2 linked regions of the Schizosaccharomyces pombe genome follow. The protein of the gene in region 1 interacts with the protein of each later gene in a pairwise test. Each region holds a gene or a part of one and is shown on either strand. Other genes may lie near its edges. The genes, in order: cyc2 and sec18.

What was found.
Region 2: the proteins of cyc2 (region 1) and sec18 interact in a two-hybrid assay, tested with the Schizosaccharomyces pombe proteins (one large-scale study listed by BioGRID).

What each region holds. Positions count from the first base shown.
Region 1 is NC_003424.3:2,025,158-2,028,601, forward strand, and holds cyc2 (cytochrome c-heme-linkage protein Cyc2), read right to left. Parts: upstream 1,845-3,444; 5' UTR 1,807-1,844; coding exon 1,006-1,806; 3' UTR 798-1,005; downstream 1-797. Other genes in the region: actin regulatory protein gmf1, read left to right, coding at 178-603; pro2 (glutamate 5-kinase), read right to left, coding at 2,187-3,041, 3,118-3,416.
Region 2 is NC_003424.3:4,717,956-4,723,047, reverse strand, and holds sec18 (secretory pathway protein Sec18), read left to right. Parts: upstream 1-1,912; 5' UTR 1,913-1,931; coding exon 1,932-4,310; 3' UTR 4,311-4,535; downstream 4,536-5,092. Other genes in the region: pex7 (peroxin-7), read right to left, coding at 1-30; SPOM_SPAC1834.13 (uncharacterized protein), read left to right, coding at 464-700; SPOM_SPAC1834.10C (uncharacterized protein), read left to right, coding at 4,737-4,959, 5,021-5,092. UniProt on the Schizosaccharomyces pombe protein: Required for vesicle-mediated transport. Catalyzes the fusion of transport vesicles within the Golgi cisternae. Is also required for transport from the endoplasmic reticulum to the Golgi stack.

The sequences.
Region 1 (3,444 bases):
AATTATCTATCAAAACTCAAAAATAAATTTTTAACTCCTAGCATGAATTTAAATATCTTTTAGGATTCTGCACGAACGGTATTAATTCAACCCAACAAAAGCACCACCCTCGAAATTAAATTTCCTTAATTGGCTATTGCTGTGGTTTTACATAAATATTATAAACTAACAAGAAAGATGTCATCAGAGGCTCGTATGTTCACCATTTCGGATACCACGATGAAAGAAATTGATCGATTTCGTTTGCGGTTGAAGAAATCAGTTATGTATGCTTTCATTCTCAAGGTTGATAAAGCTACTAAGGAGATTGTTCCCGATGGAGAAATCATGGATTTACAGAGTATTGAAGAGGTCGCAGATGAACTCTCGGAAACAAATCCTAGATTTATCCTTGTTTCCTATCCTACCAAAACCACAGATGGTCGACTTAGTACTCCATTGTTTATGATATACTGGAGACCAAGTGCTACCCCAAATGACTTATCTATGATTTATGCTTCTGCTAAAGTCTGGTTTCAAGATGTGTCGCAGGTGCACAAAGTATTTGAAGCTAGAGATTCTGAAGATATTACTAGTGAAGCAGTTGATGAGTTTTTGCATTAATGCTTGTTTATATGCGAGTTGAAAATGAACCTTTCCCTCGTTCACATTTTATGCAATTAATTATTTAAAGATATTTTGCTTGTATGGGCTTTCTTTTTGACATACTATACCTGCTTAGCAGCAGATGCATAAACCCTCAATAACAATTAGATTTAATGGATAAAAATTTATACACTTAGAAACTTTTTAAATACTATTTTTTTTATTTTCTCTCCATTACCTAAGAAAACCGCTCCATTTCATTGATAACACGTAACGTTTAAGAGTTCCCTTATTTGTATAAATTTATTTCCAAATCGGTAAAAATAAATTATTTGAAGATAAACAAAAAAATCGTTTTTGTATTATGCACAATTGTCCAAAGATCGTGCAACCCAAAATCTTAAGCCAAAAATTTCTAAACTAAAGCTTCCAAACTTTCCCAAACGGATTGTTTGATAAAAGTCCTTTGACTTCTCCTTGTCTTGCGCCATAATCAGCCTTCGGTCCGGCAATTGTAGAAACAAACTTCTGGCTACCGCAGACAATGCAAAGGGTATCCTTTAAAGGAACTGTAACATTATCCCAATCCAAAATGTCATGAATGTTTACCAAACGATTTTGGACGGACTTCACCCTTACGTTTGGGCATTCCTTTTCCAATTCTTCTTTTAGCAAAGGGGGCTGACCAGGCCTTGAGCAGTATACAATATCGACTGGGGATTTAACAGACTGAGCTAATTGATATATAGGAGCAATTCCTGTTCCTGCAACGATAGCTACGATTCTTGGGTACTTCGTACAATCGAGTTTGGTGGTTTTAAAAGGACCCCGAAGTTCAATAGTGTCCCCTTCTTTCTTAGAATGAATATAAGAACTAACGGGACCCTCTTCATACTTTCTAATAAAGAACTTTAATTCATTGGCATCCAAGTACAAAGGGGTATATGGTCTCTGGACTTGCATACTGGGATCACGAATTGTTACCTTAGCAATCGGTTCCAAAGTAGTAAGGTGTTCAGAAGGGCTCTGAGGAACTAACGAAAACAAGCTAGCATCGGATGTAAGCTCTGTAATTTTATTAACTGTAAATGGAGCATAAATTTCGGGATTAAGTCCTGGGGGCTTATTCGAATTTTTATAAGCATAATAACCACCTGCGCAACCAATAGCAAGACCTGCAGCTAAGATTTTAGGCAATTTCCTGTAAGTCGAGCTACTCATTGTTTTCTTTGTAAGTTTTACTGTATCAAGGGGAGGTTGGAATTGCGTGTACTTATATTCATCGTTTATGAAAGCCAAATCCAATCACAGGCTTCGTAGGAAGTATCCGATATAATACCAACAAAATGTACTTTGTTAATTACACAACTCAGTACAAAACGTCTGATTATTATCTAAGGTTAATAGTTTTTTAACAAAAATAAACAAATCTTAATAAATTTTCTAATAGATATTTATGGTTCTGTTTTTGTATATTAAGTTCGTAAACCTTCCTTCTATAACAAAAAAATTTCAATAACAGTAAGCCAATAATAAAGGTAAAAAACAGAGCAAAAACAAATTTTAGTAGTTCTAAATAAGCTAGTGATTAAATATATACATCAATGCTCATCAGAACTAACTTGTGAATCATGATGAGAATTTAAACCATGAACTACTAAATAGTCTCTGTAGGCGACATATTCAGTTTCGTTATATCCTAAGATGGATGCAATTTCTTTGCTTCTCTTGCCTTTAATCAAATCTATTTCAGTACTGCTGTAATTAACAAGGGCTCTGCCAATTTCCTCTCCGTTGTAAATAACCGTAACTGCTTGGTGAGCTGAAAAATGGCCATGTACTTTGGTTACACCAACTGGTAGTAATCCTGCTCTATTTGTACGGGTTATAGCCTCGAAAGCCCCACGATCAATTTCCAAACTCCCATGTGATTTAAGGCCGTGCAAAAGCCAAAAGTGTCGATCACGGATCCTTCCTTGCTTTTTGGCTACAAAGTGGGTATGCAGAGGTAATTCAACTGACTCATTTTTATTATCAGAGGATTCCTGACGGATTATATCGAATATACTCGAAGGTTTAGAACCACGACATATTATAACATTTACGCCTGAAGACGTTCCCAAATCTGCAGCGATCAATTTCGTCTTCATTCCCCCTGTTCCAACTCCACTACCGGGTGTGGAAACGTTTGCATTTACCATTGATGTATCATGAATTTTTAAAATAGGCTTAGCGTCAGGGTTGGTACGTGGGTTGTCTGTATACAAACAATCAACATCTGTAAGTAAAAACAAATAATCTGCGTTTATCATGCCAGCTGTAATTGCCGATAAAGTATCGTTATCACCAAAACGGATTTCTTGAACAGACAGAGTATCATTTTCATTTACAATGGGAACTACCCCAAAATGTAGCAACTCGGAAATTGTGTTCGCTGCATTTACATATTGGGATCTCTAAATATTAATAGTTAGTACCCGTCAGTAATTAAAATAATTTTTTAAGTGTCAACAATAATTATCTGAATCTTACCTCGGCAATGTCGTTTCTAGTGATTAAAACTTGCGCAATAGGCTGACGAAGTTGTGTAAATAAGGTATCCCATAAGGAAATTAGTCTTCCTTGACCGACCGCGGCAATTGCTTGTACAGCAGAAAGCTTTGAAGGACGCTTAGGTAAATCTAATCTACGAAGGCCCATTGCAATACCACCACTTGAAACCAAAACGACATTATGACCCAACTTTCGAAGCTTGACAACGGTTTCAACGATTAGTGACAAATTTGAAATTAATGGTTCATGAGTCTTTTCATCACAAATTGACGATGTGCCTAAAATAATGTTAGCAAAGCGTTTGTG
Region 2 (5,092 bases), 2.7 Mb from region 1:
TTGAAACCCAGGAGTCCTCAATGACAGCATGGGCAAATAAACACAAGCACGTTGCCCTCGAAGAATTGCTCGTTTACAAGAAAAAAATTCCAGTCATGAAACGGAATTATTTCGCAGCTCGGCTTAGATATTTTTCTTATATAGTTTTGCCAATAAGTGTTTCTACTTATGCTCCAAGCAACTTTTGCTTTTTGCCCCGTCTCGTTTCTGCTCTATTCTGCTTGGCTTGGCTTGGCTTTGCTTTGCTCACCAAATTTTGAGAGCGAAGCTTGTTTCCTCAACCCAGCTTATATATATCAAAAAATATATTAAATAACTACACTACCAATTTAGAAAAATGATAAATCATAAGGCGTGAACCAGGAGAGAAATACAATATAATTGGCTCCTTCACAAGCTAGCTTCGATAAGGGTGGGAAAAGCCGAAAGTTTATGAAATTAAGGTCGATTTTCTATATACCATATGATATTCGCCAGACGATTGGTACTTGAAGTAACTTATGTGTCAAAAAGAGCAAGCGTATTGAATCTGAAATCTGAAAATGACCACTTTCTAAGCAGGCCTAGAATATCCGAGTCACTGCCAACATCAGGGGAGGTGGGGATAGCTAAAGTACCTGCGAAACTTGCAAGTGCGCTGCCGCCTTACTCAGTCTTTGCCCCCGTTTCCCTTAGCTTTGTAAGAATGAATTGCGGATAACGTTAGGACAGTGTAGCTCGGGATAACTAGTTTGCCTGTAAAAGAACAAATAATCATTTGTAAGGGACCTTCCTTCCAAGTCATCAACACTCCATCCCATCTTACCTCACTTTCTCCTCAATCAGATTCAAGAAATGGCTGGCTTCACTTGTGACAATAACAGTGACTCAGGTGAGATATCGAATAAAATTCCATTCCCTAATAATCGCGTTTGAACATTCGCGAATCCTAGATTTTGGTCTATTTACCGTTATCATGCCAATTGAAAAATTTGTGACAGTATGACAGAAATCCGTTTCGTTATGTGAAAAAGGTGACATTAGCAAATCAATGGCCGTTTATACGACAGCAAAAACTCGGTACGCTAATCATTGATGAAATGGAAATCAAAATTCAAGACTTTGCCTCAATAACATTCATTAGAAAGGTGTGTAAATTTTTTAAGGAGACGAGGCGCTGAAAATTTTTTTTTCTACTCCTACTATCAAAACTTGCTAACACTTCCTCCAAACACACTCTTTTTTAAGTAACACTTTTTTTTTATTTCTTATTTATTTAATATTTTGAGTGGATGATCACCCGTATTCGGTTAGTAAAGTGAAGCTCAAAAGAATGATGCGAATCTCGGCAATTAGCGTCAAGCGGCAACGTCTATAGCGGTCGTATAGCTAAGCTAAACAAGAAGCGAGATCTTTCCAATACGGATGTCATTAAGCTACCGATTCTTAAAGCGAAGACATTATCACTCATGACACATAAAATTTTTTGACGTTATTATACGTTTAATAATGAATAAAATAAATTTATAAATAAAATAAAATATATAAATATACAAAAGGGGGAGGGGAAATCCCTTCAATAAACGACAACAACAGTCTGCAAGAAGGTTTGTCTTATTGGAAACAGTTTTCCTATCTTAGAAGGCTGCTAAAAAAATAGTCACTTGCATGCTACAATAATTGCACGCGTAAAGAGGCTTTTGCAAGAAGAGAGAGAAAAAAATTTTTTTGCCAAATGTAAATTGGGAAGTAACATGGCTTCACTACATCTCGTCCTAAAATATAACGACATTGGAAATTTATGGCTTAATTATGATTACGCAATCAAACGGTAAACGTATACTTCACTATTCGCTAATCTGTATTTCGTACTCCGTTATATTATGTTTTAGTAGTAGGTGGAAAGCGTTACGTTTACTGAAAACGATTTTCCATTAACAAAGCACTCAACAATGGACTCAAGATGGAAACTTCCATTCATGTCCAATAAAGGGACACCAGAGCAACCTATGAGGAAACCACTAAGTGGCAGTTATTCCCATAACAGTGCTGGTCCTACACCCAATATGAGCCCCTTTGAGCAAAAACCACCGCTGCCTACACATATGGATGTTAGACGCCCTTCAGGTCCTTTTCGGATCGTCAAGGCGACTTCTACCGAAGATGCTTTAACCAATTGTATCATTGTTTCTCCCATGGACTTTAAGCAGCAGTACATTATTGTAGACAACTCTCGTGTGTTCAGCACTAAACCCGTTCCTGGCTTTCCACAGGGTTGTCTTGGCGCTTCCCAGCCCCATCGCGAATGGGCTTCTTGGTCGCTAAATCAGCAGGTTCATGTTGCCGACTATGATCCATATGGTCCTCATGGAGCTCCTTATCTTCATAGTATGACTTTGGAGGTAGACTTTCAAAATAGAAATCGCACCACTAATGAGCCTTTCGACGGTGAAGAGATGGCCAAGTTATTTTGCTCTAGTTATCAGAGCCAAGTTTTTTCTCCGGGCCAGAAAATTGTTTTCGATTTCCGTTCTTACAATATAAAGGCAACCGTCCGTACTATATCTTGTGTCGATCTTTTAATTGGTGAGAATCAAGATGCCGAAAATACTGCAGATACCAGCAAACGTGGTCTCTTGACTTCCCAGACCGAAATCCAATTTTTTAAAGCCGCTCACTCTGCGTTGCGTTTGAAAGCTAGCATGACAAGACCTGCCTCTAATGCCATTCTTCAGCCAGGCTTTAAATTTGAGGACATGGGCATTGGTGGTCTTGACTCAGAGTTCAGTGCTATTTTCCGTCGAGCATTTGCCTCTCGTCTCTTTCCTCCTGGCATGGTTGAAAAGCTGGGTATTAATCATGTTAAGGGTATTCTCTTATATGGCCCTCCAGGTACTGGTAAGACATTAATTGCTCGACAAATTGGTAAAATGCTAAATGCCCGTGAACCGAAAATCGTTAATGGTCCTGAAATTCTAAACAAATACGTCGGTCAAAGTGAAGAAAACGTTCGTAAATTATTCGCCGATGCTGAACGTGAGTATCGCGATCGCGGAGAGGAATCGGGTCTTCATATTATTATCTTCGATGAATTAGATGCCATATGTAAAAAGAGAGGAAGTTCTGGTGGTGATACAGGTGTTGGCGATCAGGTCGTTAATCAGCTTTTGGCTAAGATGGATGGCGTTGATCAACTGAATAATATCCTTGTTATTGGTATGACTAACAGAAAAGACATGATCGATGAAGCTCTTTTGCGTCCAGGTCGTCTTGAGGTTCATATGGAAATTTCACTTCCAGATGAACACGGCCGTTTGCAGATTCTGAAAATCCATACGTCCCGTATGGCTTCAAATGGTATTTTAGAGAATGATGTTGACATGGAAGAGCTAGCATCTCTTACTAAAAACTTTTCTGGTGCTGAAATTGCTGGATTAATCAAGAGTGCTTCAAGTTTTGCTTTTTATCGCCACATCAAGGTGGGAACCACTGCCGCTGTTTCAGGTAATTTGGAAAATATCAAGGTGAATCGTAACGACTTTTTGAATGCTTTAAGTGAGGTAAGACCAGCTTATGGTGTGAGTGAGGAGGAACTCGAAAGCCGTGTGCAAGGTGGCATTATCAATTTTGGTAAACACATTGAAGAAATAATTACCGAAGGAAAATTATTTGTTCAACAAGTTAAAAACTCCGAACGTACACGTTTGGTCAGTGTATTATTGTCAGGCCCTATAGCGTCAGGGAAAACTGCATTGGCTGCCACGATAGCCCTTGGTTCTGAATTTCCATTTGTTAAGCTCGTTTCCGCTGAGTCCATGGTAGGAATGAATGAAAACGCTCGAGTAGCTCATGTCAATCGTGTGTTCGAAGACAGCTACAAAAGTCCTCTTAGCGTCATTGTAGTAGATGAGATTGAACGTATTATTGATTGGGTACCAATCGGACCTCGATTTTCTAACACCTTACTTCAAACACTTATGGTTCTTTTCAAAAAGCAACCCCCCAAGGGTCATCGATTGCTTATTTTAGCAACTACCTCTGAACGTACTATGCTCTCTCGAATGGATATGACCCAATCGTTTGATGCAGAAATAGCAGTTCCTAATGTCTCCAACGTTACTGAACTGGACCGCATCATACAATCAATAGATTCATTTGCAGACAGCAATGTTCGAGCTGATACATTACAACGTTTGCAGAACTTTACTGGTACTGATGCTGTCAATGTCGGAGTAGCCAAGATTCTTATGATAGCCGAAACGGCTAAACAGGATGTAGACGTTGTTTCCTGTTTTGTTGAAGCCATGGCCCGTGCTATTCCTATGGAATAGCAATGACACCTTTTTAATAACTGAGACGTTTTAGTCATGAATATTTTCTCAAGGTTTTTTATATTTTATACCGTTATAGATTATAGTTAATGAATACACCGCAATACTGTATGAATATTAAGTTAAAAGATGTTCGAACCTATATGTAACGTTAAAAAAATTAAATCATCTTGTTAAATGAATGCTTATCAATATAACTTTATAGCCTTTTATAGTCAATTATCCATAAATAATCATTTGAAGCATTGTAAACAATTTAAGCATACTACATTACTCCCATACTGAGAGGCACAATTTACCAATTCGCTATTTCCACTCCACATTGACCCGGTTCATATTCTAAATCTTTAATTTCATCAGTCATAAATAGTAAAGGACATGGAAATTTAAAAATCGTAACATTCAACTCACATACTTAATTCTAAAATGAATATGCCCTCCGAAATACTACTTGGTGCAAGACGCTGGTTTGCTTCAACATCATTTAGTCTAGCAGCTGTATATGATGCTCCACTTAAAAAAGCTATAGGAAACATTAAAAAGTTTTCGATTGGATCATTAGGTTTAACTTATATGATTTCTCCAGTGATGCTTTTACTTGATGCAGGAGGTTTAAGTTTGGGAACGAGAATGTCGATGGTTTTCTTGGGTATGTTTCATCAAGAAATCGGATTACCAAAATTTCCAAAGCAAATTTATTAACATGTTAGCATGTACTACTACTAGTTTGTCGACTGCAATAATTCACTGGGCTGCTAAATCTTATGTTTCGGAGGCAACGT